Drosophila melanogaster: one gene and its partner. The protein of the gene in region 2 interacts with the protein of the main gene of each other region in a pairwise test. Each region holds a gene or a part of one and is shown on either strand. Other genes may lie near its edges.

What was found.
Region 1: the proteins of CG9316 (region 2) and SkpC interact in a two-hybrid assay, tested with the Drosophila melanogaster proteins (2 studies listed by BioGRID).

Annotation. Positions count from the first base shown.
Region 1 is NC_004354.4:19,814,138-19,817,240, forward strand, and holds SkpC (SKP1-related C), read left to right. Parts: upstream 1-1,934; 5' UTR 1,935-2,000; coding exon 2,001-2,477; 3' UTR 2,478-2,563; downstream 2,564-3,103.
Region 2 is NT_033779.5:20,723,499-20,728,354, reverse strand, and holds CG9316 (uncharacterized protein), read left to right. Parts: upstream 1-1,803; 5' UTR 1,804-1,898; coding exon 1,899-2,493; intron 2,494-2,548; coding exon 2,549-3,249; intron 3,250-3,307; coding exon 3,308-3,358; 3' UTR 3,359-3,383; intron 3,384-3,443; 3' UTR 3,444-4,146; downstream 4,147-4,856. Other genes in the region: CarT (carcinine transporter), read left to right, coding at 1-387, 463-736.

The DNA of each region.
Region 1 (3,103 bases), on a different chromosome or scaffold from region 2:
GTGATAGATAATGACTTATGTAAGTTAAGAAAAAAAACTATAATTAAATAGACGTTAAGATGACTAAATATAATCTAAAAAAAAAAGAATAAATTATTTATTTAAGTTTTTCCATATTTCAGTTTTTTTTTTCAGTGTTGTTGTTCTTCACGATATTCTTGTTTTATAAATTATTACTTTTTTTTCAAATCAGTTTCTTTAATCAGTAAAAATTAAATGTAAGTGAGTGGGTTGCGGGTAAGGTCGGTTAGATTTTAATTAATATTTAATAGCTTATAGTCTAGCAATATAATTAGGGTTCAAGCAATTGTTCTCAGTGTATTCATTTGTCGCGTTAATCTGTATAGAATTTGTTCAACTTTGGGAAAAACAAGAGAGAATGCTATAGTCGAGTTCCCCGACTATCAGATACCCGTTACTCAGAAAAATCGATAGATATAAAAAAAAATTATAAAAATTTTAAAAAATTATTCCAAAGTGTGGGCGTGACCGGTTGGGCGGTTTTAGGGCGTTCGAGTGGGTGTGGCAAAATTTTTGTTTTTATCAATAGAAATTTACGAGACTAATAAAAATTTGAAATAATATCAACACGTTTTTCGAAAGTGTGGGCGTGGCAGTTTTGTGCGGTTTGTGGGCGTGGCAAATTAAATAAAAATTAAAAATACAAAAGTAATATAAAATAAGTCTCCTCCTTGGGTTCACATTTAAAGGAATTATTGCGAATAATTCAAATATTTGCGGATATAATTATTCAGAAAATTTCTCTCAGTGTACATTCGCAGTTTGATATCTTTCACGCAAGTATAGGTTTAGGTCCGATAGAATTTATCAATATGTTTACTTCAGCAGAAACTTCTCCCTCTGTATTCATGTCTTCTAACCCTAAAATTATTCTTGTCCACATGCTCACTTTTTTTAATTAATATATCTTTTAAGCATTTAAATTAAATACAAATCTTAGGGTTTTGGTTTATGTGCGGCTGCTGTCAATCGATGGGAAGGGGTGATCCCCGGGACGGCTCGAAAAGGGTGCTCCACAAGACGGCATGACTCGAGTTCATTTTTTTGCTGACCGCCTAATAGGTTAGAGCCTTTGCGTCAACTGGCACACAAAAAAAAAAACTTAAATCGCGTTCCGTTTGGCGGCTAGGAAAACTCACTCGAATAATGGTATTTTCGCACTTTGTTTTTGCTATCCAAAACGGACACTTTTTTGGCCGAATTGCATCCTCATCCTCGTATTAAGTACGTAATTAAGTACTAAAGCTAGCAAATCGAAATTCTTCTTTGTATCTTGGATTTAATATTAATATATTATTTTGGAACTCGGTTCAAAATACAGTTTTACGGTAACTGAAAATTTTGATTCTGTTAAGTGTATATATTTTATGGAAAGCAAGTTACACATAATTGGAGTGTTTCATAAAACAATAATAATACAGTAAAAGGGAATGTTAGAATCGCTAATGAGTATGTAACAGGTAGAAAGTGCCTTCTGTCCGTCTGTTTTTCAAATGAAAAAATATATATTTAATTTAAAGTTTTTTTGAAAAATTAGAGCAAGTAATGTAAGCCCACGTGCTATTTTCCAGTTCCCTCTGTTAAAAATATTTTTTACGGGGTTCTTTCCGGAACTATTATTTTGAAATTTTTTGATTGAGCACTTACCCAACATTCATATAGGTTTTAAAATTCATATTACACTTTTTTTTATTACACTTTTAAGGTCTGATATGATAAATAAAACACGATTCGCGATTCTCAATAAAAAAGCTAAAGCGAATCTACAGTTCTTAATGTTAAGACTTCCAATTTCTAGTGTGTACACACTTGACGACAGTGATTCCGCAGTGATCACATCTGGTCACTCTGTTCTCTATTCTTTTTTCTTTGAACTTTCGAATCGTCCAGTTGGCACGTGCTCTATCAATCATCCCATCTTGTTCTTCTGAATCTCTTTGAACGTAGTTTGGCAAATAGAAAGGCAAGGCAAACCGAAAATGGATGCTCCCACCATCAAGCTTGAGTCCTCGGATGGGATGATCTTTTCAACGGAAGTCCGAGCCGCCAAGCTCTCCGAAACCATCAAGACCATGTTGGAGGTCTCTGCCGTGGAGAACGACGAGAATGCCATTGTGCCGCTGCCCAAGGTGAACGCGTTCATCCTATCCAAGATTCTGACCTGGATCTATCACCACAAGGACGATGATGCCCATGGAGCGGAGGGCGTGGAGTTGAGCCCGCAAAGCCCACATGACATCTCAGCCTGGGACGCCAACTTTATTAACGTCGATCAACCCACCTTGTTCGAAATCATACTGGCCGCCAACTATCTGGAGATCAAGGGCCTAGTGGATCTCTGTTGCAAGACGGTGGCCAATATGATTAGGGGAAAGACTCCCGAGGAGATCCGCCACACGTTCAACATCCCGGACGAAATACCGAGCAGGACGGCCCAGTTGGGCGAAGACCTGTGAGGCACAGTCTCTTTCGGAGCAAATCCGGTTGGGACACCTGGAACCTTCCTTTGTTGAGAACTTATTTGTTTCACCAGAATAAATATGATATTACGAGTATTTTTGAAAGCATATCTATTGTATTTTATCAACATATTCAGTTTACAGTTTACTTTGGCAACAAGAACACATAAAACATAACTTTTTAAATCGTTTCATGTTCGCTTGGGCTAAAGGAGTGCTCTGGCTCTATTCCCAGTTGATTGCCACCAAGCCGCCCGGGGATACAAGCACACACCACACACCACACCACACACCGACCCACTCCACTCCATAGCACCCCAATCCCGGAATCCTGGTGCTCCTTAAGCCGGTTCCTGATTTGGCAGCCACGCTAATTTCCAAAAGCCTTGGCCGTTGGCGCTTATGAGCTCTGCATCCATGAAGTTCGCATTACGTATGTAAAATAGTGCAGAAAACCCCCAAATGAACCCAAGCCCAGGGTCCCAATCCTCGTATTCCAAACCCTTGGACACAACTTACGCACTTTACATACCGTTGCGGGGTGGGGAGGCGGGTGGTGGGTGGCAGGAGGCTGGGCAATGTCCTTTATTGTAAGTTAAGTTGCTGCCCACACATCTGTGTGT
Region 2 (4,856 bases):
TGTGATCACTGTAATGTTGCCCGATGATGCCGTGGATGAGACCCTTGTGCTGTATCTAGTATCCAAAGCCTTGCTATCCGCCTCCTTCCTGATCATATACCCCTTTGCCGGGGAACTTTATCCCACTCAGGTTCGGGGTATCGGCATTGGTGCTTCCAGTTATATTGGAGGATTGGGTCTCATTGGCATACCTTTTATTACCTACTTGGGAAAGGACAATCTTAAACTGCCCTTGGTCATCATGGGCTTCCTTTCGATGCTGGGCGGCATGACGGGATTGCGGCTGCCGGAAACACTGCATCATCGCTTGCCGCAGACCATCGAGGAGGGCGAGGAGTTTGGCAAGAACTGGCAGTTCAAAGATTGCTGTAGATGCGCTCAAAAGCCGTGAGTTCAATGTGCATGTGGTGACCAAGGCGGGTATAAAACTAATTTAATATATATTGTGCTTACTTTTTGCAGAGAGATTTTATCTCAACCTGCGTCGTACGAGAACCTGGATGTCCTGGCTGGATCCTCCACCAATGCTTCTGAGGTGGAATTGGAGCTGCGGGACAGTCGACGGGTTCGGGAGCCGGCTCCCCGCATTGACGAGCGTACGCCCCTGGACACAACGGCCAGTGGAAGTGGGCGACCTGTTCATCGGCCCTCGATGAAGCGATTAGTGCGCCAAATGAGCGTCATGGACACCCAGAGGACGCATGATGGCACCATGCAGTTGACTCATTGGATCTAAGATTTGTAGCGACAAATCTAATGTATTGTCACATCTAGAAGAGATTTCTTAAAATTAATTAGATAAACTGCAAGGCTATTCTTTGTTTTCGCTAAAGTTTAAAATGATTGCATATAAACTATTTACTAATCTATTGCTTAACGCTAAGGGATATCTTTTTAAATATAGAACTATGGGCAGAGACTTCTTTAAAAACAAACATACAAATATAATTAATCATAAAAACTTACCATTTTTGCAGCACAATGTTAGCAATTGTCATTGTATGAAAAATAACGAAATTAATGTTTCAACAAGTTACTTAACATATAACAGCACTATTTAATTGCTTACTAATTTATTTATAATTTAAATAATAGTTCTCTAAGTAAACGCTTTTGATTCCGTGTTTTAGAAGTATTTGCTATGAGCAAATAGAGCAGCATACTTTAACTGCTTAAAATTAAATCTATAACAATTTCCTCCTTTAAATACCAGTTTTCTTTTCCTTTTCCATTACTTTTCCATTAATTATAGGGCATTGCCATTATGCCTAAGTTGTTTGCTTTTGTGAATTACAAAAGCTTTGTAAACAAAAACCGAAACTTAATTCTTCAAACATATCCGGTAAAAATAAATAAATAAATAAGTACGTGTAGCGTATATCGTATGGCGACTTCTCAATCACCGGTAATTGATTTATGCATTTATTCAGACAATTATGCAATTAATTGTTGTCAAACAAAAAGAAAACTTGCTCATGCGGTGAATAATAGAGGAATGCGCGAAATTGCCCCCACCTGTCGACCGTAAACTGCTGGCGGTCACTGTCAACCGTAGGAAGTGCCTGGACCCATGGGAATTCATAATGCTGGATCAGATCACAAATATGTTGACACCAAGGAGATCTTGCAAGCAAAAATGTAGTTTCTTAATATTGCTACTTAAGTTCAGTACGCAGTTCCAAATCCAAAGATTCGTTAAGATGGTCCTTTGTCCTAGTCTTTTTCCCTATAGATCTCTGGAGTATTTAGATTTGGATCTTGAATTACGGTATCAGGACTCTAATATTTACCCGGTTACACAAGGTCGAGCTTGATTTTCCCTTATTTCCTATCATAACATCTGGGCAGTGTCAAAAATGAATTAATCTAAATTTACGTACAAGCAAATAATCCAAAAAATGCCTAAGGCGAAAACGCATTCGAGATCAGTGAAGACTCCATTCCCAGTTCGCTCCAATCGCCCGGGTGGAGTCCAAAAAAGTGAGCCATCGCCATCGCCATCGCCATTATGCAGGACCAGTCTGCTTGATCTGCCGGAGGACATCATCCGACTGGTTCTCGAGTTTCTGCCCAGGATTACCGATAAGGTTCTGCTGGCCTGTGTGGCGCCCAAGTTCCGAGCGGCCTTCGAGGGCTGGGCGAGAGTGCAACGAAATGCTTTGGACATGGTTAGTCTGGAGACGGTGCCTCTGCCGCAATTGATCAGGTTCTTCAAGGTGGCGGGACCCTTCATCAGAGTCCTTCAAGTGGACTGTGCGTCCTACCAAAAGGAGTCCCTGCTGGTGGAGTTCGTAAAGGAATACTGCCCCAATCTGGAGGAGATTAGTTACTCGAACGCCACCGATGAGTTTCACTACCGATCGATTATGTCCAAAATGACGCACTTGAAACGGGTGACTATTGAGTGTTTGGATGCAGAGGATGTGCTCAACTTTGATATGCAGCCCAACCAGGAGCTGGAGTTTTTTGAACTGGTTAATGGTTGCTATACAGGTAGGTATGCACTGCACTCTATTTATGCGTTTGCGGGACTTTATTTTCGCAACAGGCCAAAATCTCTGCGGTTTTCCCAATCTCAAAACTTTGGTCCTTCGAGACTGTCTGCTATGGAACTCGATGGAGTTTGGAATTCCGCTTAAGTCGTTGCACACTTTGGATCTCGACGACTGTTGTTTCGAGGTTATGAATGTGAGCTTGTACCAGAAAATCGCCGAGAGCTGCACGAACTTGGTGGAACTGATCTTCTCCGGCTGCGACACCAACTTCGAGGTAATCGCCAACCTGCCCAAGCTGGAGCGCTGTACACTGAAAACCTGGATGACCTCCAACGAGCTGAATATTGGGTTCCTTACGGTTCTGGCAGAGAAACGAGGAAACAAGCTCACCCATCTGCACCTATCCGGTCAGTTCAATATCACCAATGAGCACGCCAGGTGCCTGGGACAGTTGAGTAGCCTCACGGATCTGCGGTTCAGCAACAACGATATCCTGGACGACGATCACTTCAAGTTCTTCAACGATCTCAGCCAGCTGGAGCGATTTGGTCTGACCGCGTGCGGTCGGGTGATGGACGTGGGGATGATGAGGATGTTGCGGAAGTGTCCCCAGTTGAAAGTTATTGATTTGACCGATTGCGAGCAGATCACCGAGGAGTTTGTGATCCAGGCCATTGGATTCTGCTCGAAGGGATCAGGTCGTGATGTGGTGCTCAATGTAAAGGGAACCATGATCAGGCGGCCTATATTGACGGTGGGAAAACCGGGGCGGGAGTTTCGAAAGCATATACTAACACTTTCATATTTTGCAGCATCCGGATTACGTGAATTCCTTGAATCGTCTAAAGGTTAATTTTATTTAAAACGACACCACTCGAATGGAAAATGGTAAGAAAATAAATGTCTATGAATTGTTGCAATAATTTGATCAAATTTTGTGTTGCCAAGGAATCATTTCTTATTGAACATCAAATATCAAGAGAGACACTGCCCAAAACCAATCAAATTTGATTTCTATTAATAAAAATCAGTTTAAAAGGAGTGCAAGTATTATTTTTGCCATAAGGAACCGTAGCTGTGATTTCTGGATTAGGGAATAGACGTGGTGGGCACTTCTTCCGTGAGTGGAACATTCGATGGCCTTGGAGCGCGGATAGCTAAGACAATGGGATCCTCACTGGATCGATGAGTCATGACCCCATGGCTGCCATAAGGAAGTGGACGATCGAAATTTATGATCATCACAATGCTCACAATGCTCCATTAGAACGCCGATAATTGCGGACAAACGTGTGTGGGTCGTGTCGCTGCACTTTGGGCCTTTGGCTGTAGTACGTCAAGCGGCTGGCTAACAAGCCAAACGAATGGAAACCGAAATCGAACAATACGCGATATTCGATACAGTTCTGAATCCGCGATTCAATTCGATCCAAGCGATCGATCGCCGGCAATAAATTTCGCATTCAATTGCTGCTCTATTGGAACTGAACTTTGTTGCTTTGTTGGCCGATGATGTCTGTGTTAGCAGCAGGAAGCTAAGTGACCGCGTCCAGTTGATTACACTTGGAAAAATAGAAAACATTTTGTTTAATTATAGAACTAATGTATCTTGCAGGACTCTTATAATACATATGTCCAGTTGGGTTCAATTAAATCTTTTAACCAGTCATTCTTCACAGGTTTTTTGTGTGATTTGGTATGACACCTTTTCTCTAGAATTATTTGCAGTGCAGATCGTAGAGCGAACTCACCTGTGGCCACTCCACTACTCCACTGGTTAGTCATCTATACGTTTTGATTGTTTTTTGCGTGTGCTATTTGTTTTACACTGACCTCGAGTGGCTCCTTAAATGGCTGTCGGCGGCTGCAATCGCCGCGACTCTCCGATCGACGGTGCTAGAAGGGGTTAGCAGGGGGTTAGCAGTGGGTTAGCAGGGGTTCTGGTGGCCAGGGGCACCCCGGCGAATGCCTTGACATGTTCAGGTGTCCGCCATGCTCGGCTATCTGACTAATTAGTGTACTTTAACTGGACCAGCAGAGCAGGCAGCTTGCTGACATTTGGCCACAAGTTGCGGTGGCATCTTCGGCTCATCCGGAGGAGCAGGGTTTGCATGAGTGGGGCACATTAAGCAGGGATAATTTGGCGTACCCTGCCCCTTTGCAGTATCGTATCTGGCAGATACTACTACTATATACTCGAAGCGTGTCCAATCACGCCTGTGAATTATTTAAAAATCTCGCTGGGCTGTCGTATTTCATAAGAGAGACAAGCCTTAAAATTGTTACCCTGATGCCATAGAAATTCGTGTTGTTTGTTGCTCGGTGACTTTGTTGTTGTTCCTAATGTTGCTGTTGTTGTTG